4 linked regions of the Diceros bicornis minor genome follow. The protein of the gene in region 1 interacts with the protein of each later gene in a biochemical or structural test. Links are inferred from orthologs where the notes say so. Each region holds a gene or a part of one and is shown on either strand. Other genes may lie near its edges. The genes, in order: ERBIN, ACVR2A, ATP2B4 and SCN4A.

Evidence for each region.
Region 2: the proteins of ERBIN (region 1) and ACVR2A interact in a test that uses a peptide from one of them, tested with the Homo sapiens proteins (2 studies listed by BioGRID and IntAct). The link is inferred for Diceros bicornis minor from reciprocal best matches to the Homo sapiens genes ERBIN and ACVR2A.
Region 3: the proteins of ERBIN (region 1) and ATP2B4 interact in a test that uses a peptide from one of them, tested with the Homo sapiens proteins (2 studies listed by BioGRID and IntAct). The link is inferred for Diceros bicornis minor from reciprocal best matches to the Homo sapiens genes ERBIN and ATP2B4.
Region 4: the proteins of ERBIN (region 1) and SCN4A interact in a test that uses a peptide from one of them, tested with the Homo sapiens proteins (2 studies listed by BioGRID and IntAct). The link is inferred for Diceros bicornis minor from reciprocal best matches to the Homo sapiens genes ERBIN and SCN4A.

What each region holds. Positions count from the first base shown.
Region 1 is NC_080759.1:11,090,248-11,098,006, forward strand, and holds the start of ERBIN (erbin), read right to left. Parts: upstream 3,005-7,759; 5' UTR 2,359-3,004; intron 1-2,358. UniProt on the Homo sapiens protein: Acts as an adapter for the receptor ERBB2, in epithelia. By binding the unphosphorylated 'Tyr-1248' of receptor ERBB2, it may contribute to stabilize this unphosphorylated state.
Region 2 is NC_080749.1:32,217,940-32,225,927, reverse strand, and holds the start of ACVR2A (activin receptor type-2A), read right to left. Parts: upstream 3,009-7,988; 5' UTR 2,304-3,008; coding exon 2,249-2,303; intron 1-2,248. UniProt on the Homo sapiens protein: On ligand binding, forms a receptor complex consisting of two type II and two type I transmembrane serine/threonine kinases.
Region 3 is NC_080743.1:101,988,978-101,996,796, reverse strand, and holds the start of ATP2B4 (plasma membrane calcium-transporting ATPase 4), read left to right. Parts: upstream 1-4,809; 5' UTR 4,810-5,186; intron 5,187-7,819. UniProt on the Homo sapiens protein: Calcium/calmodulin-regulated and magnesium-dependent enzyme that catalyzes the hydrolysis of ATP coupled with the transport of calcium out of the cell. By regulating sperm cell calcium homeostasis, may play a role in sperm motility.
Region 4 is NC_080757.1:46,737,536-46,745,373, forward strand, and holds the start of SCN4A (sodium channel protein type 4 subunit alpha), read right to left. Parts: upstream 3,011-7,838; coding exon 2,738-3,010; intron 2,649-2,737; coding exon 2,530-2,648; intron 2,380-2,529; coding exon 2,290-2,379; intron 1,981-2,289; coding exon 1,852-1,980; intron 1,338-1,851; coding exon 1,246-1,337; intron 1-1,245. UniProt on the Homo sapiens protein: Pore-forming subunit of Nav1.4, a voltage-gated sodium (Nav) channel that directly mediates the depolarizing phase of action potentials in excitable membranes.

The sequences.
Region 1 (7,759 bases):
ACAACATGCAATAAAAATTTGGTTTCCATATTTGAACCTTGGTAAGCTTTTCAGATGTGAAAAGTTTGCAATAGCTTGTTCTCAAACAGCAGGCTGACTTCATAACGTAATATCTGAATTAATTAGTTAAGAATCAAGTTTATCACTATTGAAAACTCCTAAGTACCTTCAATAAACAGTAGCATTAGATGTGCATTTGTGCAATATAAGCAAACACTTTGAAGTACTCTATATTTGCCAATCTAATCTAAGAAAACCCACACAATACTAAGAAGAATATACAAAATTTGAAGCCATTTAAAAATATTTTAACTGATTATTGTTTTTTTAACTTCTTTTCAAACCACTGTCACATTTTAAACAAGGCTTTAAAAATATTTATAGTTTGACAATAGTATAAAGCCTAAAATTCATGAAGTTAATTCAGTGCTAAACTAACAAAAATTGTAAGTAAACCACAAAGTAAATTTTGCCTTGTGGAGGGGAAAAAAGGAATCAAAGACAACTACAAAGGTGAACATCTCACTTTTAAAAACGTGTGGTCTACATCTAAACATACTATTGCTCCCTAAAGAAAAACAACGATCAAGAACTATATCTAAAAACAGGAATTTAAGAAGTTATTTTCAAATGCTACAATATTTCTTACACATAAAATTTACTAATGCAGAGAAATATCTGCTCAAAATGATAATTCTCTATAAAAGACTTGTTCTGTTAAGGCTTTGTTGCTCTGAGGCCAAGTATAAGCCATATAAGGGAACTGAAGTTCAGTGCCATTTATTTTGTTCCGCTCTTTCAGATGCCCAAGAATAACCTCCTTCGCTGCCTAATGATACGTTCCAAAATCAAAAAGTAGATCAGTTATTTACTTTAAATTCCTTGATAAAGCAGCTTTGACTTAACAGGAATTACCTGATGGTTCACAAATCTTACCAACGAATTTTTTTTTAAAAAAAAAAAGGATCTCCAGAGACTAGGCTCTGGGGAAAATATCAAAACAATATATAGTAATAAATAGTTAAAAGAGTCTCATTTTGAAATATACTTAATAAAGTAACAAAAACCAAGTTGTGAAATAATTTGATCTCTTTAAAACCTACCTTTTCTCTTCTTTGGACTAAAGAAAGCCAACTATTTTTCTTGGGGTAGCATGGGCAAACTAAACATCAATTTATATTTTAGATATACCTACAATGGAACACCATATTTATCTAATATTTATGCAAAAGCACAGTATTGTCTTTCACCTCCCTTTACCAGAAAAGTACTGGAAAAACAAAAAAACTTAAAAAAGATACACACTAAAAGGCCACTGAAGAAACCGTTTTGTGTTTGCTGCGACCAAAACTAGTTTGATCTATAAAGACTACCGATTGGTTCAGTAGTGTTTATAACTCTGCCTGGTGGAATGTCTCTCACGCATCACTAATCCCTGCCTCTACATCAGGTACCTATCACTTATTAGGCAGAACCAGCCAAAACATTTGGGCCAACACAAAAATGTAAATACTGTACTATTCAAAAAGCACAGCTCTTTATCACAATGTGATTTCCAAGAAAATCGTTTGAAGCATTTTACTTCCTTTCCTATATATTCTGATCTGAACTGCAGAGACGTCCTAACAAATCAAACGACTTATAGCTGTTTTTTGTTTTTTAATTGTAACTATCCACAACACTTACGCTCTCCTTCTTCCTACTAGGTCAGCTACAAAAAACTCTAGCAGACCCTTGCTTTCAATTAATTAACCATACAAGTATTATAAGGTTCTAAGCGTCTGAAAGGAACAAGTTACTGAAGAAATATATTACCCACCTAGAAAAATGACTCAGAATGGCAAAGGTTTTTGTTTATAAATTCAACGAAATATATTTCTAAGTGTTGGAACTACAAAATCTCTATATACGACTGAACGCAAAAGCCTAATAAATGGGTAACAGTATAAACAAATGTGGCAGCCATCTCAACAACAGCAAACCACTCGCTGCAGCGACCTTTCTTCTAAAACCAAAGTTGCCGGTTCAGCAACTTAACAAATAAAAAATATACACTGTATATGTTCCGGGAAACTAAAACTTCTGGACCTTGCGCTGAACAAAGGCATTCTTTCTTCAGATTGCTTAAAACTTTTCATCCCACCGCATTCTTTCAACCTCTTCTAAAATAACCAGAGTCCTGATGGTAGAAGGGGGAAAACAAATCAGTTCTACCATTTAGCACCTAAAACACTATCCCGTTCGACATGAGCAAAGGTGAATTCAGGGACACTTGGGAAAAAGTGAAACACACTCAACTATCCTCTCTTTCCTGGCCCAGGAGCTTTGTGACTTCTAGACACTTTTCGTGGAAATTACCTTTCGGTCGGGCAGTGTCTCAGGGCAGCTTTTTCAACGCTTCGCCTGACATGATTTCCTTCCCTTCATTAGTCACTTCGGATCCAGCCGAATTTCTCTCTCCGGTAAGAGCGGATGTGGAGCGGCCTCCCGCAAGAGGAAGAGTAGGTTGCTTTGGTGGGGGCTGGGAAGCGGGCTGGTTTCCTGGTCTCGAGTTTTGCAGGAGTTTCCCAGCCCCAACTAAGATCTCCGCCGAAAAAAAAACTTTTCACTCGTGACACCGCCCGGAATTACCGTGCGAAACTCACTTCCTGCCCTGGCGAGAAGCAGGATCCAGCTCGGTCCAGGGCAACCCGGAAAACCAGCTCCGCGCGCTGGAGGGGGAGGGGACGGGAGGGGAGGGGGCGCCGGCGGAGCCTCGGGCTCCGGGAGGCCGGCGCGCCCCGCACGCCCGACGGCGGCGGAACCCGGCCGGCGGGCGCGAAGACGCGGCCGCGCGCTGGGCGAGCCTCGGCCGCGCTAGGCCGCCACCGCCCCCCGAGCCGGGCAGCGCGGTTATTGTCTCGATAGCGCCTGCCGCGCCCTTCGCCCGCGCCGCCGCCGCCGCCGCCGCCGCCGCGGCCCCGAGCTGCAGCCGAGGGGCCGAACAGCCTCGAGGGCGGCCCCCTCCCCGGGCCGTCCGTCGGGCCGTCCGTCCTTCCGTCCGTCCCTCCCGCCTTCCCTACCCGCCCTCGACCCCTCTTCTGCTTCCTCTCCCGTTTTCCCGCCGCCGTCCCTTCGCTCCCCTCCTCGTTCTTCTTCCCCCTCCGGGCGGCGGAGGCTCCCCCGGGCAGCGCGGGGGGTGCGCGCCGGCGGCGGCTTCGTCTCCTCAGGAGCTCGCGGGGCCGCGGCAGGGGCCGAGGCTGCGTCCCGCGCCGCCGCGCCACATTCACTCGAGCGCGAGACGGAGAGGGGAGGGAGGGCGCGCAGAGAAAGGAGGAGGAAGGGGGCTGGGGCGGAGGGGAGGCACTGCCTCACAGGCCGCGGCGGCAACAGCGCCACCGCCCCGCCGGCGAGGGGGGAAGAGGCTGCGCGCGGCGGCTCCGCGGCGGGGGCGGGGCGGCCTCCCGCCGGCTTCACCCCCCCGCCCACAGCCGGGGGAGGCCGGCGCGAGCCAGTCACCGCGCACGGGGCGGCGCGGGCCGACGTCGGCGGCGCTGGGCCGGGGGCTGGCGGGAGGGGCCGGCGGCGGCCGGGGGCTCGCGTGCGAGGCGCGGCGTGAGGCCCGCTCCGGCCCAGGCCGGGGAAGGCCCGCCTGCCGCCCCCAGCCCACTCCCCAGCCGCCTAAGGTGGGCGCGCTGACGACGCTGACCCCGGCTGCCCCGCGCCCAGCCCGGTAGCGGGCCTCCGGCGCCCCGGCCGATTGAGTGTCTTTGTACGACAGTGATCGGCGCGAGGGGTTCAAGTCCAGCCCCGATTTTCAGGCTGCAGGTATCTCTTTCAACTGCAGCACTCCAACTTCCTCTAAAGGCACGCTCAGTTTGCAGGAAACCACAGCGGCAGCTCAGGGGAGCTTCCCACGCCGGCCCTTGCTCCGAGCCTGCTCGCACAGCAGCGCAGCTGGGGCTCCTCCAAGTCTCAGCCCCACACCGGCGGGGAGACAAAGCTGGCGCTGGGAGGGGGAAAAGGGCCCGCGAAATTGCCTCAAGGTGGTGCCTTTGTTAGAGGAAACATTGTATACGCTCCGAAAGCGACAGAGGCTTCCAACCCCAGCGGTTTCGGTGCACCAGTCGGTGAATTGCGCTGGCCCTAATCTATCAGCCTGGCAGGGTTTGCGTTTACTGCGGAGAGAGATTCTTAAGCATTCTGTCAACACGTGACATAGAACGCCTCAACCATAACATTGCACAGTTTGTGCAGTTACTGCTTTAAATATGTTGACAGACAAGACGGCCTTGTTTCACCCGGAGAAGGAACTTAATAGATACGGAACGAACCATTCCCCGCCCCCAGTCTGTGCTGTACTTAACCGTGTACAGTGATGGTAATTAGTCTCTGTGTCCCTGAAGTCACTGCTTCAGTTCTTCCGTCTGTGTTCCAGAGATAATTATTTATTAGCAAGTTTGAATAAAGAGCTGTATGCCCTACAGATGATTTTTGGCTTGCATCCAAAGGAAGGAGTTCGTGAAGTCCATCAAAGAATTATTTACCAAAGTGAGTTGTATGCTAGTGACAAACGCTTGAAACAACTCCAAAGATATTCAAGACGTTCTGTTAGGGGTAGGAGCGTTTTAACTACTTCCAGAACTGCTAGAATAAACACAGGTAGTTCCTTAGCTTAGAGCAGAAGTTGAAGGTTCACAGACACTACCAAAGTGGTCAGGCTTATTTAGTGCTGAACTGGAGGTAAGAGAACATTAAAGCAGGAAACAGCAGCCAGGTCTACTAGTAAGTATAAGCTATTTTTAATTGTCACAAGAAAGATTTCCTACTCCACTTTCGAAAACTGGTTTGAGTCTGACCAGACTCCTTGGTATAGCTCTGAACTGCAAGGGTCACTCTCCTAAAGCAGCCCAGCATGGAGTATCTCCCATACCAGCCAGAGGCCAGCTGTAGACCAGCTGGATTCTAGGATTCCAATGTCACATTTAGTCTCAGGTTGATTCAAGACCCGTTTAAATGTGACATCATAGAATCAAGTAAATGTAATGTCCCCACACCACCCGCAAACCTAAATAAATAGGACTAGACCAGTCCCTAGGCTAGAACCTGCCCTGGCCCTAGCCTTTATTTTGACTTAAACTCATACTGGGGACCAATCTGGCTGACTACCATTTAGGCTACAAAAGTCCCTATGACCAAAAACCCCTCCTCCAACTCGCCTAAATTTTGCCACTAGCATTTAATTCCTTTGAGTAGTTTATTTCTCTAGCATAATCCTGGGAAAGGTACTCTTTTAAGCCTTATTAGTCTTTTATACCTAATTCATCAGATTGTTTCCCCAAAGCAGCTTTTGATGGGAGGGAATATAGAGATAGCATATGCTGATGCTGAGAAGGTAGGAGTGGGAAATGTGATTTCATTCTTCGGGGGAATATATGGAGAGTAGAGAAGTATAGACAATAAAGTGCTCCCTATTCGACTGTTAAATAAGTCCTACTTACTCATACTGTAAGAATGAACCCCAAAACGCTGGCCTTAAGAGGATGGAAGCCAGGATACACTTACCAATATTACCTATTTTGACAAATGTTTCTTTAATAATCCTTCTGTAAAGTATCTTCAGCAGGGATTCTGCATCTGTGCTCATGCGAGGGTGAAATGACAACTATATGATCAGAGTATTCAACAATCAGAATAATGATTCATCTTTGTTATTCATTGCTGACTGCTTGGTTCTAACTCATATGAGCAGCACATACAGATATAGCCAAATCTTCCGTTTGTTCTTTTACAAGGCACTCGTGTTCCGTGCTTTACAAATTAGTTTCCTTTGAAAATCCTTCCACAGTTGAACTAAGATGGACTTAATGTTTCAATTATGATTAAAGGGAGAAGTAAAACCCCACTTTAAATGAGGCTGCCTAACTGTAATTCTGTAATGATTAATGAACTCCAGGACCACCTTAGAGAATAAGCTAAAAAATAGTTGTTGATAGTATAACTTGATATTCCCCATTGTGATTCTCTAAATAATTGTCCGTGAAAGACAGGGAATTCTTTCTTTGGGATTCTCCCTTCTCATGGCTGGGCTCAGGAAAGGAATTACTGTCTGCTAGAGATAAGCCACATATCTGAAGGAAAGCCTTAAGACCTTAAGCGTTCCAGGGAATGCACACAGCATCCATCAAAAAAAAGTGTCTCAACAGAGAGCCTATCCACTGTTTTAAAAAGGGTTCCCTGTCATTTCCCCATGCCAGCCAAGCAGCTGTGCGCAAGCATTTGTGACCAAGTTAGCAGAGGGCAAGGAAAAGTTTAGGGTGATCATTCTTTTCTCCCTTTCTCAACACCTAGTAAAGAATTGGTGACCTTGAACCAAAGCTTTTATCACAGTAGTATTTGAGAAAAATTAATCTTCAGGCTAGAATAGAGTTAGATTCAAAAAAAGTCTAGAAGCATTAGATCAATTAGATCAAAATGCATTATAACATATATTTTTAATAGGGATTGACTTCCCTATTTTCACTTCCATCTTAGCCCGTTGATAGTGAGGGCAGGAGGTTAGGGTGGCAAGTGTGTGGGAAACGGACATTTGGGCTCAAAAGAGGCAGTAACATGCAGGAACCAAAACTAAAGATTTTATAATACTTTGGGAATGGAAACATCCCTCCCATAGCATGTTTCTGCCTTTCAGACATATTTTCAGTAATATTTTATCAATCACAGGGAAGTCTCCCTCTATTTGTGAAAAGCTTTATGAAAAGTTTTGAAGTTTTTTTTCCCCTAGTATATCCTTGATAATCTTTTTTCCTATCCATACATTTCGTAGCCTATCCAAATTAAATTTCTTTCAGATGTCTTATGAACATTTTTAAAGTGTGGAGGAAATGAATAATGCGTGGTGATTATTTGTGTGACCTCTGAAACAAGACTGCTTGAATTAGAAACTTGGCTACTGAATGACCTTGGGCAAGTTCCTGAACATCTATAAACGTAAACTTGAGCTTCCTCATCTCCAGAACGGGGACTACAATACTAACTGCCTCATAGATTACTGGGAGGACCACATGGGACAGTGCTCACAAAGTGCTTAGCACAGTTTCTGGCAGACTCAAAAGTGTTAGCTGTTAGTAGTGATGCACTTTTAGATGCACTGATAACATGTAACATGCTTCCATCATTTCTAAGGTGACCGTATAGTGTATCATCCAGGCTAGAACACTTTTGAGAGTGAAAGCAGACATTTAATAATAATTACACAGGGACAACAAATGTAAAACCAGGACTGCGCTGAGCCAACAGGGGCAAATAGTCACCTTCATAGTTTCCAACTTTATCACCTTCTTCTGATCCACTTCCCCTCTCAAATTTTCCCTGGTGTGAATCATAATCTATTTCAATCATATTGCAATATGCACACTTCTCTCTAAATCTTAACAATATTAAATTAACAGCAACAACAAAAGATTAAATACTGTGGCTTAATGCTCCTTAATGCAGGCTTTCACTTAAGAATATTATCTTTCTTTGAGTAACAAAACTGCTGTTTTCCTACTCACTTAAGCTCACACTTAATAACTTTACATTTTTTTCTATAGTATTTTGTTTTAAAAAACTGTTTAGCATCAAATATGCCATAAAAATAGCGGATATGTAAGTATTAAGCATAATTTGAGGTGTAGCAAGAGGCTAAATGCCCTGCTCTAAAACGCCAACTATGTTACATAAAAACTTTTTTTAGTTAAGTAGCATATCACTCCTATTCCAAAGTAAGAGTGAGTCA
Region 2 (7,988 bases), on another chromosome or scaffold:
CTGACAACTTGAGAAATTTTCAAATCTTCATAAAAATAGCCATCCTTACTCTTCCCGCATGCCAGATTACATATTACATAGAAAAATCATTTAGGAAAAGAAACATAATCATCCTTTTTTAGAGTGCATTTGATTCATAACAAAAGCTCTTTTAAAAAATCAGACATTTTAAGTACTAAAAATCTTCATGTATAAATATGGATTAAAGTCTTTAAGATTATTTCAATTATCTTCAATAGAATTATATTTTAGTTCAACTAGGAATGTTTATGTAAAAAAACTATGCAATAATATTTAATATTAGTTTAATGTAAGTGGAACATCTATACCCTCTATAGCAACAAAATTACTTTATTTCATAATTTTAGCTATTAACCTCCTGGCCCAGTGAAAATAATCCTAGAAGAAGCTAATGCTCTATTCTTTTCACTCCCAAACCAAGCAGAGAGAGCTATAAGATGTGTAGCGACAGCCTGCTTTTCCAGAAGTAATACCTTGAGACTGCTCAAGAATAACCTGCTTCACCAATTAGCGTGACTCAGGTGGGTCTGGAAGGGAATAATATCCACAATTCCTTGGTCAGTGGCCATGATGCCCCTCCTCCTCAAGGGCAGGAGATCAGAAAAAGGGATTTGAACAAGAGGAGTTCACCAACCAGAACATACAGGGGCAGAGGAGAAAGAGTACTATGGGAAAAATAAAAGCTACATGGTTAAGTCATGTCACAAAAGCAAGAGGTTTAATGCCATCAAGGTATTCATTCATTTCAGAGACACCATTGTTTATCTTCCTCCCCAAACCTTGCACAAAAAGAACTGTCAGCCTGCCTTAAGCATGTTCCTTCTTCCATTTAAACAGACATGATTCTTTTGGTTAATCTCTGGCAATGATCGCCATTTCACAACATATTCAGCCCACCCGGAACTGATCAATACCACTACAGACATAAGACTAGACTTTATCCATTTATTAACCACAAGGAAATGTACCATTCAGCAAAATTCTATACATCACAAAAGATTCTTTAAAAAAGGGCGGTAGGGAGGACGGGGACACCGACACACACACACACACACACACACCACAGAGGTACACAAAGAAAAGACTACCACCCTCTAATTTCCCTGTGGCAAATGAGATAAAGACATGGCCATGAAACCTGTCAATTCGTTTTCCCCCCTGACAATTCTCTCTCACAACCTAGTCACCGAATATTGAATTTTATGATAAATAAATTCATTGTGACTTTAAACTGTTTCATCTAACTCACTCTCCTGTTACGTACATCTGCACACCTTTGAGCTAGATGCTGTATTCATTTATAGAATTTCAAATACAAAAGACTAGATAGTTTTCCAACCACTGGTTGCAACCACAGAACGTTCTCACAAAATCAAAATTTCAAATGTAAAAGGGCCAGATTATTCTTCCAACCTTGGACCAAAACCGATCTTATGACTATAGGCTATTTGACAGTACCAACAATCTCAAATGGGCTGTTCTAAACCGAAAACAATGCTTCGATACAACGCGTTTAAAATAAGTATTCCGTAGGTAAGCAAAATCTATGCCAGAAAAGAGCACATAAATGGTGGTTGAAAGCCAGCACATTACCGACACACAGCGGCATACCTCTTCTGCACTGGGTTATAGTTAATACTCCAACAACAACAACAACTATTTTTAACACTGCTGGACACTGCACTTGAAGAAAACGTGAGGGGAGACCCAGATGAAATTGCTGATATGATGCATTGTTTCTCACGGTCAAAATTAAGTAGCAACTGACTTGATCTCTGTCGTGATAGCCACCGATGAAGCGCTCATTACAACACGATTTTTAAAAACACCTTTAATTTTAGAGGATGCCACACTCAATGACATTTTGGAATACGTCTTTCAGGTCTCAAACCTTCGCACAAATTGTCACTTGTGGTATCTGCGGCTTAATTGCAACCCAACCAGCGCTGTCATCCAGTGTTATGGCCACAAACCATGACTTTCTCACTTCCACAACAACAGAGCAGTCGCTCTTATCAGCTCGCCAACCTGACTCAAAACGAGAAAAATTCATGGAGGCTTCCAGATCCCAATCAGACCCGGGGGGTGGCAGCCGCGGGGCTCGGGGTGGGGGGGAACCTCCCCAGGCTCCCCCGGAGCTCGCCGACCCAACAACAACCGCGGCCGCCAGCAGCGGCAGCAGCGGCCGCAGGAGCAGCAGCAGCCCCGCCGCGCTGCCTGCACCTACCTGAAGAGCAAGAGATAAGAAAGACGGCAAACGCCAACTTCGCAGCAGCTCCCATGTTCCCGAGGCGCCGGGGATCCGTAGGAAGTTCTCGCTAGATATCCAGTTCCCTGGGTCTTCCTCGGAGACAAACCTCCTGGTGTAAAATCAACCGTCATAAAACATACTCGGAAGCCCCGACCAAAAAAAACGTTCACGGGGTTAAAAAAAGAGGAAAAATAAAAAAAGGCACAATAATAATATAAAAAAAAAAATGCACCACGGGGGAAAAACCGCCACACACACGCACAACACACAAAACCAAACAACGAAAAGCCAACAACAACAAAAGCAGGTTTAAATCACTGTCAAAATCACTGTCAGCGCCGCTCGCCTCTCCGGGCTCTGGGAACAAAACGCCAGGCTGAGGCGACAAGGAGGCGGCGGCGGCGGCGTCCGCTGCCGCCCGGACAGTCCGGGAACCGAGCTGGGTCCGACGTCCGGACCGACCTTCAACCCGGACACCCAAAGTCCGCGGACCACTGGCGGCCGAGCTCGCGGCGGTGGCGGCCGAGGCAGCGGCGGCGGCGCGGGGCAGGAGCGGCGGGCGGCGGGCTGCGGCGGCTGTGCAGGCGGCGGCCAAGTTCTGGTCCAGGCTCTGGCTCCGGCTCCGGGCTCAGGGCTCGGCCGCGTTTTCGGTCCCCGGGCCTCAGTCGGCCACGCCCCCTAAACTTCCGGTTCCGGCCCGAAGCTGGAAGCCAGGCACGGCGGAGGAACGCTCCGCGGCGGCGGCGGCGGCGGCGGCGGCGGCGGCGGCTGCCGGTCGCAGCGCGCGTGCCGGGCCGGGAGCGCGAAGAGATTGTCGGGGAAGCGAGGCGGGAGCGGGGGAGGGTGAGAGAGCGAGGGCGGGGCCAGCTGGAAGGCGAGGAGGCGGGGCGGACGGTGGCTCGATACCGCGAGGCCTCGGCGTCCGGCCTGCTCGGCCTGCTGGGCTGTGGGGCTCGAGAGGGTGGGCGGGTGGATGCTGCGGGGGGCCAGCGTGGCTGGTGTCCTGATGGTGCCCCACTGGCCTCTCTGGAGCGCACGCCCGACTGGTCCGGGAAGCCCGAGAGGAACAGGACCAGAGGCGGGGCTGGGGCCGGTGACTCCTCCGGGGGGCGTCTGCGGCGCCCCGTCTTTCCTCTGGGGGGACGCCTCGTCCGCTCGGAGACTCCGGGCGCCGCGAAGCTGCGTGTGGGAGCGGGTCCGCCACGCCTGCCGAGCTGTCCGAGCGAGCTCGGTGCGCGCGAGCTGGGTCTGTGCCCCGAGTCCTGCGGTGCATCCCACCCCCGTGGTTTCTGCTTAAGGGTTTTGTCTTTCGGCTAAAAGAGAAAAAAGAAAGGAAAAAAACTCGCGGAGGATGGGCTGTCCACCCGCCCAGGATATCCACGGCAATTACCACGATGTGCAGTTTGAATCCCTTCCCACCATCCCTTGTATACACAAAGCATTGTGTTGAGAACTGCTCTGCATGTAATAGGTTCGCAAATATTTATTACGAGCTGAAGAGAAAACGTGCGGATTTCGATCGACATATTTGGTGGTCAGACAAGTGTTTACTTTTTCAAATTTTAGTTCTTTTAGGGCTTATTTTTACCCCTTAATCCAACTTGATTGCTTACAGGGTGTTGTGCTAGCCACGGAATGGGATCCAAAATGTAAAAATAGGATCCCTACCTCAAGGTGCTCACAGTACTTGCTATACGTACTCGAAGTTGCTGCGAAATACGAACTAAAGGCAGTATTAAAGATGCTAGCTTTGTCATTTACCACACTTGAGCGAGCTCCGTGAAGGTAGGGATCTTATGTCGTCTTCCCCATTTTATGCCAGCGCTCAGAGTGTCCAGCATATGATAGGTGCTTAATAAAGAATTGTATAAATGACTAGGGGATAACTGCCTTCTTAAATGCAATATTCTCACATGTACTCTACAAATTTTTGGGTTTTTTTTAATAAAGATAATGATAAAGCAACTGCACTGCATGGCAAATTCATGTTTTACTTGTGGTTTACTGATTCCCACATTTTTCCCACAAAGCCAAGCCGCCTCCCTTGTATTTAGTGTTTCACTTTTCTCTTCCTCTAAATTACTCTGTATTTCTGTCTATTAAGTTCATCCTGTAATTATCTGCCCATTTCTACAACCTGTCAAGGTTATTAACAATCATTGTGGCTCTTTAAACTCTCTCCAAGATTTCCAGTTCTCAAGTGGTGGTTCTCAGAATTTGACTGATATTGTGCAACAGTTAGGAAAAGTCCCAAGTTGGTCTTCTAGGTGTCTAAAGGACCTCATATTATGTAGTTCTCTGGAACTATTTTATGAGCTAATCAGAGGAATAGATATAAACCTCCTTGGGTTCTCTGGTTGACTGAGAGTTGTCACTAACGTTTCTGGAATGGAAGTGTATTTCATTTAGTTCATTCAGAAATTTGATGTCAGTTATACCCTGGATCAGGCCCCACTGTTGTCTTATCTCTGCATCACTTCAATATTTCTTGAATTGTGAAACCAGAGCAAGTGGAAAAACTGGAATAACCAGTAATAGGATTAAAACGTGAAAATATATTTCTTATCTTACCACCTGAATTTCCAGTATAAGAACGTAACAGAAGATGAAAATTATTTTTTTGTAGTATGAAAGATGAGCAACAAGTCAAAGTCTTCACTAGACTAGTCTTCTCTAATGAAGAGTTAAAATAACCCCATGGGAAAAGTTATTTACATCCAGTGACAGTAGTTACCTATTTTGTGCCTAAATCTGTGTTCACGTCCACCCTCTGCATTTTTTTAAAAAATTCAAAAGTGATTCAACGTAATAAGACATGAGAGTATGTGACTAATTCCCATTGGAATTCCAAAGCTTAAAAAGGAGATAGAGGTAGCTGCAGCTAACCCTACTGCCCCTCTTTCCTTTCTATTTTCTAGAATCGCTTTTGCTTATCTACAAATCCAACACCTCCCTAACACAGTGTAAGCTGTACAAACTGGGATTGGGAAGGAAGATGAGGAAGGAGAGGAAAAGAAAAGGAAAACTGAAAAGAATTCTCGTCTGCCAGAGCATTAGACAATTATGCATTAAACAGCTTTAGCTAACATCTCTCAATCCCAAAACCTGCGGCCTTGTAGCCACTCCAATGCTAGAATTTCAAGTACAGAGTCCTGACAATAAGTTCAACTGAACTGCAAGTTATTCCCAGCTGCAAGAGTCTTGAGAAGCCAGTTCAATCTAGAGATTCGGGTGTGCGTTGGCTGGATGAGGAGACAGACGTAAATGAGTGCCATACACAGCTTCTAGAATAAGGGATGATTTCTTTTTATGCTAGAAAAACTCATTTGGCTCAAAACGGTATGGACTAAGTTTAAATGTTCAACTCTGAAGTGGGACTGTATTTGAACTGGGCTGGAATTGAACTTGCATTTGAGATTGGGTGGTATGCCATATATTGTGAGGAAATTCACCTTAAGGTATAGACCTGCCTTTGGACATACCAATAGCCACATATAAGCAAGACATGCCAGATCTCTCTTCCTCATCATCAGGAAGATGACTAAATCCGTTTGGAGTATGAGGGATGTTGAATTCCCCTTAGATGAAGGATTTAAAAGTATTTCTACTGTTTTCTAGTTACTGTAAAAGTCTACTCCTGTGTTCAGATAACATGGGCATTCCTGAAGTGGCACAAGTAATGAATTTCTTTTATACCAATGCTGTAAGGCATAATACATGGGGAATAAACTTGGTACCTCAGTAAGTCAAAGGAAGGCAGATAATAATCAGCATATCTTCCTTGTATTCCTCTCCGTAGATGCTCAAGGTCGGGGGAAAACTCCCTATATCCTAGCTTTTGGTCCTGTTATTCTTCTCTTTTTTATTTAGGTCCAGCCATAGCATTGCACTGTGCCAATGGGGTAAAAAAGACACATACTGAGAAAAATAAGGATGTGGGAATGGATGAGGGACAAAACACAAAGGCAGAATATTTTAGGACAGAAAAGTGAGTTAAGAGAAACTAGCTATGATGGAAATAATGTATCCAGTGTAATTTTATAATGTATCCAATGTAATCAAGTTTGATAAAAAGGCTACACTAACCCAGCTAGTAATATAAATCTCAACAACCAATTGGTTTCTCTGTAACATCCCAAGGGTAATATTTGACTTTTTCTCCCATATCACCTCTTTCTAAATCCAGTAAATGTGTGGGAAACAAAAAGAACAGGCTTAATTTAGGGAAAGTTTTTTCCCACCCTCCAATTTATATTCATGATCTCAGGGGCTTAGTTTTCTAACTATTTAATTTCTAATAGTTTTTTAAAATACTTTTTTGTGTGTGTGTGAGGAAGATCAGCCCTGAGCTACCATCCATGCTAATCCTCCTCTTTTTGCTGAGGAAGACCGGCTCTGAGCTAACATCTATTGCCAGTCCTCCTCCTTTTTTTTTTTTCCCCAAAGTCCCAGTAGATAGTTGTACGTCATAGTTGCACATCCTTCTAGTTGCTGTATGTGGGATGCGGCCTCAGCATGGCCGGAGAAGCGGTGCCTCGGTGCGCACCCGGGATCTGAACCCGGGGCCACCAGTAGCGGAGCGCACTCACTTAACCGCTAAGCCACAGGGCGGGCCATCTAATAGTTTTATAACTATTTTATTTCTAAATTTTATAACTTTTATTTCTTAGTTTTCTATTTTATTTCTAATAGTTTTCAACTATTCTTTCTACTAGAAAGAATAGTTCTCTTTCTAGTAGAAAGAATAGTTGAGACTTTGAGATACACTATCTAACCGATCCCAATGATCTAAGTCATTTAAGTTGGAGTAAACACTACTCAAAGTGTAGTTCTCAAACCAGTGTTGGTCTCCAACCATTTGTTACTGATCTTCAATGAGATTAGTATAGACATTGACAACTGTTTAAAAAGTTTTGTAGAAACTTGACAGAATAGTTTTATGTCTGTTGAAGCTAATAAAAATAATTGGGCTTATATTTTGTTTGTTCTTGTCTTTATTTTGTGTTTTTAGTAGTTCAATTTTATTGTATTTTACAAAAGTCTTATAGATTGGAAATTCACCATAGATAATTTGTGAGGCACTGGAGTAGAGAACAGGCCGTATTACCCAAGACTCTTTCTCAAAAATAATGCCCTCCATCCATTTTGACAAATGCTTAAAATCTTGAATGAAACTTTGATGCTATAGTCCTAAAATTTCTATAATGCAAGACTGCATAAGAATCAATAATTTTCATTACATTGTACATATTTATCTGTGATATTCATTTATTCAACAAGTAATTATTAGCTACAGGATTTGTGTTAGGTGTTGGTAGTATAGTGATAAATGAAATGGGTACAGTCTCTGCCCTCGTTGAGCTTACAGTGTCATGAGGAAGACAGAAAAATAACGAGTAAATAAGTAATTGTCTAATGGGAGGGATTATTTATAAAAGCAGACGGGATGCTGAGATAAAGAATAAGAGTGGTGGGATTGAATAGGAAGAGCGGACCTATTTAGAGAGAATGATTCGAGAAGGACTTACTAAGGAAGTGACATTTAAACTGAAACCTACAAGATGAAAAGGAGATAGATAGTCGTGAAAGGAGCTAGTTAAGAAGGAACAGTATGTACAAAGCCTACGGTATGTTCAAGAAATTAAAAGGAGGCTCCCACGGCAATGAAGAGAGAGGTATGAATAGGAAGAGAGGAATATGGGCCCCAGACTATGCA
Region 3 (7,819 bases), on another chromosome or scaffold:
GTGTTCTTATCTAATTGCAGCCTTCCTTTATCTCCTGTTATCTTGGCCAGGCCAATTCCATGGACTTCTGCCTTGAGGGTGTCTAGCACTCTTACCCTGGTCCCTTAGCTGGCACGCTTGATCCTCCGCCTTTGGAGCCAGCCGGTGGCTAAATTAGTCCAGTGTCCTCCCCTCAGTAGCCCTGCCCTTGGTTATGTATGACAAGGACAGACAAAGGGCATGGGGGCAGATGTCGCTTGGATAAATGCCTCTGTCTCTCCTGCCTTCAGCCTTCACCAGACCTGCTCTGCAGGGGAGTGGGAAGAGAGACACTGGGAAGAATTTCAAAGTCCAGCTGGAGTCCCTCCAACTCTGAGAAGCCTTCCTCAAAAGCTCCTGCTCACCTTCAGCTTCTCCTTCACTAGACTATCATGAATTTTTCATCTGGATCCAAGCTTGAGACTTAATCACATACTTTGTTTTGTTGTTATCTGATTTATGAGTCTCCACAACTAGATAAGAAGCTTCTAGAAGACAGGGACCATGTTATACATAACTATGTTATACCAAATTGCCCAGCACTGCACTGGGCCAGCCACCTACCCTACACACTGCTGCCACAGCCAGCTTGCTGACCACAAACCCCACAAGGCCACGCAGGGCCCTCCACAGTACAGTCCTAGCCTTCGCTCTATTCTTCCCACCTCCTACCTTTCTCACATCATCACCCTCACAGCTCACCCCACTCACCCGCATCCAAAACAGTTTAAAGATCACTCTTCAACATTTCCACGTCCCTCCAAATACCACGTCTTTTCTAGAGCCTTCGAACATTCCTGTCAGAAGTGATCACTCCCTGGAATCTCCACAGAAGTATTTTCATACTTCCTCCTTTCACAGGAACTACCTAGCACACGGTAAGCACTCAATAAATATGTCTGAAAGAATACCATAACACCTTCCATTGTGGTTATTTATGCTATGAACATATCTTTTTCCTCCACTAAACCATTATCTCTGTATACTCATCTGGGCCCAGGGGATATGGGAACAGTAGACATTCAAGAAATGTATACTGAATTGAATAGTAGGTATTCAGTAATGAATAAAATTCACTGAAATGAGTGTACCTAAATGGCAGGTACCAGCTCATAGGGTTTCTACATTACTTTCTATATGACATTTCTATATTACTTAGTACAAGTGACCAGAAAACAACTTAATTTAGCTTATGCATGCATAATAAGTCACATAACTAACTGATTTGTAGGAACAGCAAGGGTACAGTAGGGTACGAGTACAGTTGACTCAAATGCTTCCAGGACTCACTCTTCAGGCTTCTTCTCTGCCTCTCTCTGCATGTAAGCTTTATTCTCTCCTACTGGCAGGCTTCTTCCATGTAGCAGGGAACACAGTCTCTGATACTTCCAGAGCCTCATACTTCACAATGTCCACTGCTGGGGGGAAGCAAGCCATGTTCTCCCTTTGGTCTTAAGCTAAAAAATCCCAGGAAAGGATGTAATGGCTCAGGTAGGGGTAGGACCTCTAATAAAACGATAGTTCCCATCTAAATAATAAGGAGAAGACCATCTTAAAGAAGAACTGGGTCTAGGTGTGGGAGGATGGTTGCTGTTCTAGACACACAAACAGTAGCTGTCCATAGTAGGGAGAGACGCAGTTTGAATTCTAGGGAGGAGGACAGAAACGGCGAGGGCCATTTGGGGAACTCAAGGTGGAGCTCTCAAGAGGCCAGAGAAAGAAATTCTGTTAACACCTGAGGGAGGGACAAGGCTGACTGCATTTTCTTCAAGTGAGAGATGGGGTGGGGACAGGGTCCACAGTGATGGGAGCCCTGCCGAGGCTGTCCTGCTTTGGGAAGGCCATGACACCTGGCTGAGGAGAGCCAGGCTAGAACCAAAGAAGCAGGGAAGCTGTGAAGTCAAGGGGTGGCAGGGACAGGAAGGAAAGGGGCAATGGCAGGCTAGGGCAGCCAGCCATGCACAACAGCCCAACTAGGAACTTCTGATGCCGGAGGCAGTACCCTCCCTCCTGACACAGTGCCGGGAAGGGGCACAACTCCACTTTCTTACATTTAGTGGTTCTTTTTATGGGTAGACTTATTTTTATCATTTCTAGACCTCAAGCCTGCTGCTGGAAGAAAACAAGGCACCGAGGCTTCTGCGTTTCCAGAAAACACTCAGTGGCGGGCTCAGCTGCGGACATCAGGCTGTGGCCTCCCCTGGAGTCACCTTGCCACCTCTCACACCCTTCTCTTCTGTCTACATGGGAACTGGGAGTTGGAATGGGGTGGGGGTAGCCTCTTCTCTCACCTCACAGCCCCACCTGGACAGGGGGAGCACTAAACGCTGAGACAAGGGAGGAACTGCTTGCCAGCTACCACAGAAGTCATCCTCCTGGCCTGCCCATGAATCCGGCCAGCGAGAGGTGGGACAGACATCAAAGCCTCTTCTGGCAGCACCTCCCCTGCAAAACCTCTCTCCCTGGAACCCAGGGAGCTTGAGGGGAGGATCTTGCCTTTCAAACACTAACCAGCTCTGAGCTGGCATCACGTCCCAGGCCCCACATGCCAGGCAGCTGAAGTAGACTTCTCCTCTACTGGGCCCACACATCTGGCCTAAATTCTTACTCCCCCAAGACAAGTTTACTGAACAGTTAGGCAATGCCTTCAGCACAGCCACTGCAGACAAGCTCAAAATATACTTTAATACATTTAAAGCACCATTTCAGAGACTGGCTTTCTCATGATAAAGATGCAATTGACACTCACTAGGCACTAAAATGTCAAGTTGTTGCAATCCTGCACGGAGACTGACAAGCCATTAAATCTGAAGCTCTGTTCAGCTGATTCCTTTCCTTTCATTCCTCTGTCTGCCCCAACAATTGCTCTGGGCTCCTGAAGCCAACATTTTGGTAGGACCTTCCAGACTCTGACAAGGTACCATCTCTATCTCTGCCATCAGTTCTTCCACTGAAATGCCCTGGGGGTTGGGGTAGGAGGAACCAGGGAAGCCCGGAGAGGAGCAGGGAGTGCGAGAGAACAAATCTCACCTTTGGTGTCCTCCCAGTGAAAGGAGGGTGAGACCTCCAGGCCCTAGGAAGAAAGGACTGCTTGGGAAACCAGCCATGGACGGTTTCCATAGAGGGTGATCCTAAACTCCCCTCCCCACCTCTGCAACCTTCCACCAGCTGGTCTGGGCAGGTCAGGAGAGGCACAGAATGGTTCCCAAGACAGACGGCAGCAGGCAATCCCTAGCACCACATGGCAGAACTCTGAGTTCTGAGCCTGGCCCAACCCCTCTAAAAAAGTGTCTGTACTCTTTTTTGTTTAACTGTCTCTAGCTCAGAAAGAGGATGTGGATGAGTTACTGAGAAATAGTAGGACAGGAGAATAAAGAGAGGACAGAAAGGACCCAAATGGTAGGAAATTGGGAAGCGTGCTAACAGAGAGAGGGAAACCAGACCCCAGGGGTCTAATTCACAGCTCTGTGTCTCCACGTGCATATATGGTCCTTCCCCCCAACCCCCATCCTGGGGCAGGGAGGACAAGTGTGGTGTGAGGTGTTGGATTAGGATGGGAGGATCAAAGAGGCCTCTTCCCAAACCCCTGAAGTTGTGACCGGTCACCTTCTTCGCAGCAGAGTTTACCACTCTAACCTGGGAGGTGTATGTTGACCTGCCTCCCACAGCATGTGAATAGCGCGAGTGTGTGTGCTGAGGGAGGTGTGAGAACATATCAGTCAATGACAGTGTGTTGTGTGAACCAGTTGATGGTGCATGTCTGTACTTGAAAGCTGTAAGGTTCTAGGCAAAATCTATGGGTGGCACTGTTGCACAATGCTGGTGGGTGTGTGGCTGCGGGGGTGTGATGAACAGTATATAGGCTGTGTATAAGTGCGAATGGGTGTCTGAGTGTGTGCAAATTAAAAAGGAAATGTGTGCCAGAGTATGATACCAGTGTAGGAATGTACACCGGCTTTGGAGTCAGTCTACTTGGGCGTGCATCCTGGCTGTGTTATCAGCCAGATGTGTAAGCCTGGGTGAGTCACTGGTCCTCAATCTCCTCAGCCCTGAAATGAGGATAATAACAAGCACTTTTCAAGACTGCCAACAGCACTAGCAATGATACTGCATATAAAGCTTTTGGTGCCAGAGCCTATACGTAGTAGGACTCAAAAGAAGGCAGCTATTATCATGCTCTGTGGATGCGCCTCTGGTGGGTACAGAGGCAAGAGGGAGCAAAATGTGCCCGTTGTTGTGTGTGTGAAATCTGGGGGAGGAGGTGTGTACTAAGGTGTCTGTAGAAGCAAAGCTGTGCAAATGTATGTGCATGCAACACAACTCCTCCTTTTCCGAGGATCCCCCTGTTCAGACAGGGCCGGAGGTTGGGAGGGGATGTACAATGTCCGCAGACACCTCCTGTCTCGGGTCCCGGGTCCTGGGTCTAAGCAAGAAGAGGCTGAGAGGCCGTAGGAGCTGCAGGAAGCCAACTGCCTGCAGAAGCTTCCTTTTCCCTCCCCCCAGCAACGGTTGAATACCGCACCCACTTCCACTCCCCACTGCCGCCCCCCACCCTACCTTCCCTTCGACAGTGAGATCAAGGGCGGAGGAAACCGAGCAGAGAAGATTCCTCCCTTGCCTTCCCCAGGCCCCCTTAACACAAACCGGGAAGTGGCCAAGGCTCGCCTTCGAGCCACCTTAACAGTAGAGTAAAAACCTGGCCCCTCGCCAAGCCCCGCCCCTGCTCCGGCGCGCGCCCCTCCCCTCGCTCCTCCCGCTCGCTGGGGAGGCGGGTGAGCCCCGGGCCGGCCGACTTGGCTGGAGCTGTTGCCATGACGAGCATTTTCTTAAGACAGCGATGCAGCTGAGACCGTCCGAAGCTGGGGGTTGAGGGAGGGGCACGAACTTCCTGGGGACGCGTCTCTCCCAGGAGAGCGAGACCGGAGACACCCGCCCCGCTCCCCGGCACCCATTTTCTTCCAGGAACCTGAGAGGTCCTTCCACGGGGAGGGCCGGGGAGAAACCTAGCCCGCTCCCCGTCGGGGCGGGACCGGCAGGAGAGCGCAGCCGGCATCCCTAGCGCGGTCGCCACACCGGGGAGACCGGGGAGTGTCAGCCGTCACCCCGTCCATGGAAACCCGGAGGGAGAGTCCCGCTTGGAGAAGCCTGTATCTTTGCTAGAAAGAGAGGTAGGCTTGCAGAGAATGAATTGACTCGCGATTTGCGAACTTTATTTCTTTCCTCTCAATGGCTTCTTAAACTCCTTGAATTTCCTCTTCCTAGCATATATTCTGCGACTGGGCTTGGGGGGGGGGGTGTTGTGCGCGCGCGCGCGCGCGCGCACACACAGATTTGTCAAATTCTGTATTTCTTCCCTAGACTCCGTTCTGAGAAATCATATAATCAAACAAGTGATTTCTTTTTCTTTTCCTACTTTTTGTCATACCTGGGCCGTGGGGGGTAGGGAAATGGAGGGAGTGGAGTGTTTTTTTCATACCCAAATTGAGCTTTTGGAAAAAGCATTTGTTTCCCCTCATCCGCTCCTGCCCTCCCCCTCCCCCTTGGCTTGGGAATGAGACACAGAATGGAAAACCGTTGCAAAAATATTTTCCGCGTCTGTTCCCTTGCTCGAAAGCCCCAAAGAGAGATGGGAAAAAAAAAGAACCGGGTAAGAAATTTTCAACAAGGAGGAGGGGTTGCAGTGGGGACTGGGAGGGGGCTTACTGGGGGCGATGGGTGGAGGCAGAGCTAGGAGAAGTTGGGAGGGTGGGGAAGGGGAGTGTACAAATTAAATTTCTTTAGCTTTGTAGAGAAACCTCAGCAGTTTCTCTCTGCTGCTTGCAAAACAGCCTCTGACTTTCACGTCTATAATTAGCTGTGGAAAAAGCTGGGAGTTCCCTCCAACCGCTGTTGTTTGAGTGTGTGCAGAGCATCAAGAGCCAACTGTATGAGTGTCTCTGAGGGCACCGCCCCATACATCTCTGGTCCCAGAGGGGAGAAAGGAGAAGGAGTGACGTTGGAAAGTTTGCAGTGTCAAGGCTGGTGACTGGGGCTGGGGAGTGTTTGGCAGTTGAGGGTTGGTCACAGGCATCCTTGGAAGGGTCCCTGAGCATCTTGGGCCCCTGCGTTGTCTTGCTGAAGAGCTAGAAATTAAGGCTGGGATTGTCCCTCCTGATCTCCTTTCATGCTCACGCTCCCTAACATACTTGGCTCGCTCTCAGGGTGGAGGAGGCCGGCTGGCATCCTCCCCGAGGCGAGTCCAGCCTCACACACTCCTCCATCTCACTGAAGGACCTACAGCTCTTCTCCAGCTGGGTGCGGAGGCCACAGCAGTGGCTAGCACATCCTGGAAGAGAGTAGGCACTCTGTTGGCCAGAAGCACCTCCCTCCTGGGCATTCTTGCCGGACTTACAATAACTTGCAGACATGATGCCGGCGCCGGCTGGCCTGGTAGAGGGGATGTCAGATGAAGAAATAGGCGAGCGCTCAACTGACTCTACCAGGGGAGGGGAAGTAAAATCCCCTTCTACAGTGCCATCTTCTTCTCTGGGTGGGATGTCTGGCAGGGAGTCTTAAGATCCTCCCCTCCCGCCTTAAGCCCCTCCCCAGAGCTGCCCCTTCTTGCCCTTCCTATTTGGAGGCCCCCTCCAGCCCCCTCAGCTGCGGGCCCTCTTTATACGGAAGGAAGAGAAGGGACCAGGGTCAACCTAGGCTGGGACAGACCACAGAGAGGGGCCTAGGGGTCAGGAGGCACAGGATGGGGGAAGGTTTAGGAGGAGGGCAGGAAGAGGTGGTGGCTCTGATGGCTAGTGAGCCCAGTTCCCTCATTGGCTAGGGGTAGTGGCATGGGGGCTGGCTCTGGCAGGTGGGTCCTGGACCTGAAGCAGACTGATGGTAGGGGAGGGCGGGGTGGGGGGTGTCAGGCTGGGGGAGAGGAAGCACCTGCCCTCTGCCTCAGCTAGTTTGGTTGGAGGAGCGGTAAAGGTGACAGCTTAGAAACTGGAAAGAAGGAAGCAAAAGACTTGGAGGAGAGCTTAAATGGGCTGGGGAAGCAGTAGGAACCAATTTTCATTTTGAGTTGCTGGATGATTGATCTGACTGCACCCCAGGGACAGACAGCTAGCTCCTCCCTCCTTGCATTCTGGTCAGGAAGAGAGTGAGGTCTCTGCAGTGGGCAGGGGACCCAAGATAGGATTCACGCCCTTGTTCTGTAGGAGGGGGAAGGGGAATCCATTTCTTTGCCCCTGCTCTGGAGCCCCATCCTCCCTGCCACCATCTAGCTGAGGTACAACCCCGGGGATCACGGCGCCCTCCCATCTTAGACACCTGTAATCCCACCATTCCTGCCGCTGGCCTTCGTATTTCAGTGCTGTGACTAGGGGTGGGTTCCGGTGGGTTTGGGGAGGGCTTCCCTATTTAGCAGAGGAGGCTCTGCTCCTGAGGCCTTGAGTCAGGTGGGCCGTGGGGAATCTCTCTGCAGCAGCCCTTCCCAGGGCCGCGGGCTGGATCAGGGCTGCAGCAAACCCAGCAAACCGTGGCAGCTCGGCTCCACCCTCCGGCTAAGTCTGGATCTGGGTGCTCTGTGCAGAAGGCGCTCCTAGCTGGGGAGCAGAGGTTTCCTGCTTCTGGCCATGCTGAGCCTTAGCCCCTTCCCCTTCCAGTCACCACCTCCTGTCTCTTCTGGACTCAAAGTCAAGTCAAAGGAGCACAGCTTCTCTTACCCTTGGGACTCCCAGCACCTAGCACAGTGCCTGAGATGTTATAAGGTGCTTGGTCAATGTTTGTTGGGAGAAGGAAGTGGCATTTTGGGGGAGCCTAGGAA
Region 4 (7,838 bases), on another chromosome or scaffold:
CTTTAATACCATGGTTCCTTAACTTATCTGACCACAGACCCCTTTTTCTTGTCATGCCTGTTAACACCCGAGGAACAGCAGGGTTCACTCTGAGGAGCTCTAGACTGACTGCAATGTCATTGCCTTCTGCCCCTTTGGACGGACAAAGGCATAAATGACTCTGGAATTCCAGGGATGGATTCCCATCGTTTATAGAAGAGCTATAACTTCTTCCTTGGGCTTAATCATAGTGTCTCTTACTTCAATATTAATTCATTTTCTTTTCTTATCTTGATATGGGAAACAGATGCTCAGCAGCCTCCTTATAAACTCTCTCAAGCTCTGAGGATGCTGGAAGCGTGGCATCAAGGAAAGGTGTTTTGGCCTTGATGCAGTGGCCAAAGGGCAGTGTGGCCTTCAGTAAGCACTGCCCTCTCGGGTCTCTTGGGGTCTCCTTTCTCAGCTGCAATATGAGGGCTTTGGACTAGAAGAGAACTAAGGGACTTTCTAGCATGAAGATGGAACAACTTTCTCGTCCTCCCAGAGCCTGTTCTCCATCCCTTTTCAGATCATCTTTCTCTCCTGTAATGAGCCACTTCCAGTTTCTCCACATGCTTTTCCGAGGGTCTGGATGAGCCAAATTCCATTTATTTCATGCTTCTTGATGCATTACTTTGGGATTGCCCCAGCCTCGTTGCTCAGTGGGTATGCGGCGTGTTCCTTATTGAGCCCTCAGGGCTGGCACGTTCCATCACTGGTTCCCTTTGTGTCTCTCTCAGGTGGAGTCTCTGCTCTGCCCAGTCTGCTTATTTTATTTAACTCACATACCATGCACCAGGCACTATTCTAGGCACCTTATTGATATTAAGGGATTTAATCCTCATAACAACCCAATGAGTGGTACCATTATTATCCACATTTTACAGATGAGGAAACTGAGGCATAGACAGGTTAAGCCACTTGCCCAAGGTCAAAGTTAGGAAGTGATGGAGTGTGAATTGAACCCAGGCAGTCTGGCTCCAGAGTCTGTGCTCTAACCATCTTGCTATGCTGCCTCTCACACACCCATGCTCCCACCTGGGGCCCCTTCCCCTCTGTGGCCATGGGGCCCCTCTGTGTCCAGGCTTTGGTGTGGGTCCTACACAAACAGAGCCTGGGAGTGTTGTGACCCCAGTCAGGCTCCTGGAACTTGAGTGTCAGGTTCCAGACTGAGCACGGGGGAAGGCCTGCTGACCTGGGTGGAGGGTCCCTGCGCCTCCCCGGTACCTGGGATGACTGTGATGGTTTTCAGGGCCCGCAGCACCCGGAAGGTCCTCAGGGCTGAGATGTTGCCCAAGTCCACAAACTCCGTCAAGTACCTGGAGAGGGGGTGCAGTTTGGGGTAAGGGCTGTGTCAGAGTGGGGGGTGGGTGATAGGGCAAAAATCAGGGGCTTCTCCAGGCCCAGAATGAGGATCCCCAAGGAATCCTTATAGTTGAGGTTCCCAAAGGAGGCTGAGGGGCAGGTCAGACGCCCGCATTGTTCCTATTGGGGCCTGAGAGTTGGGAAAGACAATGCAGGTGCTTTGCTGGGGAGTGGGGATGGCGAGGGTAGCTCTCCCAGTGGCTGAGGGCCTGTGGGACTGGGGCCCAGGGCTGCTGTGTGTGGTTGTACATGGTATGCGGAGGGGCATCAGGAGAGCCTCCAAGCTAGACCCTAAGAAGGGTAGCTCCTAGAATTGTGCAGCTCACTGTCTGCACACCTGACCTGAGGCCCCTGCAGTCCACTCCTCTGAGACAGAGGGTCAGCCCACTCAGCTGCCCTCTTTGAGGCCTGGCCTCCTCCCCTCACCCCTGACTCCCAGCCTCAGGATGCCTCTGGGGCCCTGCTCACGCCATCATGATGACGCTGAAGTCCAGCCAGTTCCAGGGGTCCCGGAGGAATGTGAAATCATCGATGCAGAAGCCTCGGGCCAGCATCTTGATGAGGGATTCAAAGGTGTAGATTCCTGTGAAGGTGTACCTGGCGGGGAGAGGGCCGGCCAGCGCCAGGCATGTCACACCCAAGCAGGGGGGTGGGTGGCAATGATGGACCTCCCAGGAGGGAGGGTCGCAGAAATGAAATATGCCACCCAGAGGGCTGAGGACATTGGTGAGAGTGACAATATACACCACCCCGGGGGCTTTGGGTGTTAATGGGGGTGACAGTGACAGTGTGTGTCTCCCTGGAAGACAAGAGCAGTGTCTTGAGTGCAAGAGCATCCTCAGAGTGCAGACACCTGGGATGGGCTGTGTCCCAGGACCAGGGGGCTCAGGGGAGGGAGAGACTTACTCCACGTGCTTGGACCAGGGGGGCGGGTCGCTCATGGTCATGAACACGCAGTTGGTCAAGATGGTGATCATGATGAACATGCTGAACAGCGTTGGGGGGGGGGGGTCAAGGAAAGTGAGGGAGCAGGTGGGGAGGGGAGGTGGACAGAGGGCCTCCTTGCCCAGAGTACCCCATTTTGCCCACCCCCAACCCCTCCCTGCCTCTCCCCACCCCTGTGCTCACTCCACTCAGGCAGGATATGAGTGGATGAGCACCTTGATGGCGCAGCGTCTGACGATGCTGAAGGGACTCAGCAGGTAGAGAGCGGGCGTGGCGGAGAAGCGGAAGATGGCCTTGCCTTTATTGAGCACGATGAAGGTCTGAGGCAGGAAGAGAACTGTGAGGCCTAGGGCCAGGCAGACAGATGGACAGTGGACAGACAGGTAGAGGGAACCCCCCAGACCCGGACCTTCTTGTCACTGTAGAAGGGGTCCAGGTCCTCCAGGGGGATGCCGATGACCTCCGGTGGAGGGTCCCCATAGACGAGGGGCAGGTTCTTGCCAGCCTCCAGGTCACTGCGCGGCTTCCGTTCAGTCTCCTCGATCTCCATCTGCTTGTTCCGCTGCAGCCGGGCCTCTTCCTCCGCCACCCGCCGTTCTATGGCTGCCAGGGACTCCCGGGTGAAGGGGCGCAGGCTCTCAGGGCCCAGAGGCACCACAGTGGGCAGAGACGAGTTGGCCATCCTTGCATCCTGGGCTCAGGGGCCAGGAGGGTGGCAGGCAGCTGGGGCAGTGCACAGCCCCGGGGGTGCTGGGCAGCCACCCCACCCTGGGGCCTGCTGTCTGCTACTCACCTCCTGCCTGCCCAGGGGCCAGGCTGGGGTGGTCAGCGTGCAGGCCCTATCGGATTGGGAGATGTGCCTGCAAGGCCCGGGCGCTGCTGCTGCACAGGTGCTGGCCACAAGAGCATCACCCCTGAGCCCCGCACCACACTCTCCCCAGCAGGGGGTTGGCTGCCCTCAGGACTGACAGCAAACCAGCCAGATCCTCTTCAGCCTTGCAGACTTGAGGCCAACGCCCCAGTGCCCTCAACCGCCTCCTGGGTTCAAGCTCTGGGAACCGTGTGGCTTCAGCCTATGGGGACAGAAAGAACCACAGCTGGCTATGCCCACACAGCCTCCTCCCCACATTGAGGTGGAAAGGAGTCAGGTGTGAAATGTGCAAGTGGGCCCAGAGGATGGGCCAAGATGAGGGGCCTGGTGGGATCACTCTACAGCAGGAATGGCAAATGGATTTCATCTTATGGGCCAACTTGCATTGGCTGCTATTGGCGGCCTGGAGATGTGGGCATAGACCATCAAGGTTGCAGCCAGATTCAGTGCAGAAAGACTGCTTTGATTGATTAGTGATGTCTGCCAGGGGTATGAGACAGGAGAATGTGGTGCATCTGCCTATATTTGCCATCCATGGTCTGGAGGGAAGGGGAAAGGAAGAGGTGGGGTGTGGTGTGCCCTGTGCTGAGCTTTGGTGAAACGTGATGTTGGGCTGGGAGATGGAAGAAGGAAGGGCCCTGGGCCCTGCAGCTCCCACCCATGGGACCTGTGGAATCTAACCCACTGGGCAGGCAGGGGGTACTGGAGCAGGAAGATGCAAGTTGTATGCGTGGGTCCACATCAGGAGAGCCTGCAGATGCTAACGTGGAAAGGTAGGACACAGGAAAGGTCATGGGGACAAGGAGATGCATAGTTTCAATGGTGGGGGGAGGGCTAGAGCTCCCAGAGACTGTGGCTGGTGGTCCCTGCATGAGCTGGGTGGATAAAGGGGCACCCACCAGGAGCCTTAGAGGCCTGGGAGAACTGTGTGGACTGTGTCTCCTAGGCTAGTCCCTCCGCCTCTCCTGGCCCCTCCCCCTCCTGCCCAGCCCTCCTGAGCCTGTTCCCTGTGAAAGGGAGGTAGAGGGTCACATCGCAAAGGCCCTGGGGAATGACCCGCATCAGCAGGCAGGCACAGGGAGACCGCTGCAGCCCAGTCACACGCAGCCGCTGCTAGTCCCGCACACAGACAACCCAGAGCCACTCCTCCACCACAGGGGCTCAGACAGACCTCCCAGAGCCACACTGGAGGGCAGCCCCCCTCACAGCAGGCCCAGATGCCCAAGCAGTACCCCTGCCCCGGCCAGTGCGGGCACTTCTTCAGGCTTGGTCAACAGGTGGGGAGGGTGGCCCAGGGAGAGGCTGGAGCCATTGGGCAGAGCTGGCCACGCCCCCTGTGCCTGGCTGCCCAGCTGCTCCCTACCATCACCCAGGGAGTCGTGTTTCCACGGGGATGACTCTGCTCATTCCTGCTGACCCCGTCCCTCAGCTGCTCATTGGCCCCATAGGATGCGTGGGAGTGTGTGTGCGTGAGCCCACACATTTACACAACACAGACGCACATGCCCAGCCTGAAACCATCCCTCATGCGGACCCCACAGTTGTACCCTACCACTCATCACACACCTTCCTGCCTTCATCCCCATCACTGATCCCACGTACACTTCCATACAGAAGACACTGACCTGCCAGATGGCCCTGGAGGGACCCCATATCTGCTGGGCACCCTTCCAGGTCACAGGCTCCACTTGGCAAATCCCCTGGCCTGAGATGCCCATTGTCTCCTTCACAGGAGCCCAAGTGGGACCACAGAAAGCCAGAGACAAACAGTCTGCTCCCGCCCCAGCACTCGTGGAAACTGCGCTCCCTGGAGTTGCCAGCGGCCCCCAGTGGACAGATCCAGTGGTTTCTTCTTAGCTGGCCCTCCTGGCCCTCCCTCAAGCATTTCTCACTGCCACTGCCTTTCTTCTCGAGAGAAGAACGTGGCCTGCCCCTCTAGCCACTCTTTCCATTTCTGCTCTGTGAGTCCTCCTTCCTGCCCTTGGAGGATGCTGCTTCTCTAGGACCTGATCTAGAGATGATCAGCACCTCTCCCCTTGTGTCCTTCTCCTCTGACGTGGAAACAACAACCACCCACCTCCTTGCCGTGGTCCCTACAGCTTTGCCACATCTGTTCCCACTTCCCCGATGGCCCCAGACCAGTCAAGTCGCGGCTGCCTTTCATGCACAGCCACAGCCTTCGAAGCTCTTAGGTCAACAGTGATTCATACTCTGCTTGCGCGATTGTCTCCTGGTGTCTGTGCCCCGACTAGACTCCTCACAGCCCGGGACGTGGGGGTCACCACTGAATCTGGTGCCTGGCACATTGCACAGGGCTATTTAAAGACTGCCGCGTGGTCCCCACATCTCTTCTCTAGCCCAGGCCCTCCCCTGAGCTGCAGACCCACAGATGGCACAGCCAGGCTGGCACCTCCTCCTGCTGTCCCCCAGCTGGCCCCAAATGGACTCATCTCTCTCTTCAAAATTTGCACTTCATCTAAATTCCTCTCCTCCTACCCTCTTTACCAACGCTGAAGCCACTTCACGTCATTACACACGGTCAGATCTACAGAATTATCTTCACTGCCCCCGCCTCCTTCTTCCTCCAACCTGCTGTACAGAACCAGAGGCCAGGCCTTCTGCTGGGCTCAGGCCCCGACCCCGCTTGCCTTCCCAACAACCTCATTCTCCAGTTATCATCTTTCTCTACCACCATCAACCTCTCCCTGTCTATGAACAGGCTCTCCCATCTTAAAAATAACGGCAGTGGTGACAAAAACTACCTTCTCGGCCTCACATCTCCCTTCATCGATTGCCCTATTTTTTGTCCCTCTTCACAGGTGAACTTCTTGGAAAGTGTCTACACTAGCTGTCTTTACTGCCTTACCTTTCGTTTGCTGTCCAACCCATTCCAACCTGGCTTCCATTACCCCCACTCAACTGAAATGGCTTTTGTCAAGTCACTAGCACCTTCTCTGCTGCCAAGTCCTCTGAACACGTTTCTGTCTTCACCCCTCTCAACCTCTCAGAAGCATTCAACCCAGTTGGCCACAGTGCCCTTCTGGAAAAGCTCTATTCACTCAGCCCCCGTGAAAGCACACCCATGGGTTCCCTTCTACCTCTCTGGCTGCTCCTTCCTTGGCTTGTCATTCTTTCTTGACCCAATCTCTAAAGTTTCTTAGGGCTCAGTCTGAGTCTGGATGGCATCATTCCTATGACTGTAAATAGCATTATAGGAATACGATAAACCTCTCCTTTGAACTCCAGACCAATATATTCCACTGCCTACTGGACCACTCCATGTGGATAGCTAACAGGCATCACACTGACAGCATCTGGAATGAAACATTTGTGTTCTTCCACTGTCCCCTCCAGTCTTCCTCAACTCAGGAAATGACACCACCATCCACTTGGTTGCTTAAGTCAAAAATCGTGGTGTCAGGGGCCAGCCTGGTGGTGCAAGTGGTTAAGTGCGCGCCCTCCGCTGCAGAGGCTCGGGGTTCACCGGTTCAGATCCTGGGTGTGCACCGCTGCACCGCTTGTTAAGCCATGCTGTGGCAGCGTCCCATATAAAGTAAAGGAAGAATGGCACAGCTGTTAGCCCAGGGCCAGTCTTCCTCAGCAAAAAAGAGGAGGACTGACATTGGATGTTAGCTCAGGGCTGTCCTTCCTCACAAAAAAAAAGAAATCATGGCCTCTCCTTGGATTCTCCTATATCCTCATCTTCTGCATCCAGCCCATCCGGAGTTCTATTAATACCATCTTCAAAATCTCCCTAACCTCCCCTTTTTCCTCTGGTCCATACCACAATAATCTCTTGCAATAGCCTGTTTCCTGCTTCCTGTTTTGCCCTGCCCCCTCCAAACAAGTCCCATAAAGCAGCCAGCGATCTTTTAAAAATTAGAAACTAATCATGTTGTTTCTTCAGCTTAAATTTCTCCAGTAACTTTTCGTTGCTCTTAGACTAAAACCTAAACTTCTTATGGTGGCCTACAAGGCCCTGGTGATCCAGCCCTACGTACTTTCCTCCTCTGTCTCCTGATCTTTTCTCCCTGTCCACTCTGGCCCAGTCCCACTGGCTTCCTTCCAGCTCCTTGAGCACTGGGCTTGTGCCTGCTTTTAGGCCTTTACCTGGCTCCGTGCTCCCCTCCGTCTTCATGTGGCTGTCGCGTCCCATCCTGTCCCGTCCCATCCCGTGTCCATCCCCCTCCACCCCCCTGCCCCAGCTAGGCTCAAATGTCCTTTCTCCAAGGGGCTTTATCCTCCCCTACTCTCTATCTTTATCCTCCCCTACTCTCTATCGCAGGCCCCTGTATTTTCCTTGACATCATTTGTCATAATTAGTAATTACATGTCTATTTGCCTAATTCATTTGTCTGTCTCCTACACTAGATTGAAATGCGAAGAGGGCAGGAACTGTGTCTGTTTAGGTCACCAGGGCCAATCCAAGTGCTGAGCACACAGCAAATCCTCAATAAGTGTTTGCTGAAAGAATGTGTGGATGAGGCCTTGGATACAGACTGTTCTAGGGATAAAATGAATTCTGCTATATTTCATTCATTTATCTATCCTTCCATCCATCCATTCTGTTCATAAGCCAGAAGCTGAGTTAGCCCTGAGTAGGACACAAAGATGCACCAGTTGGGCATCCTGCCTTCTG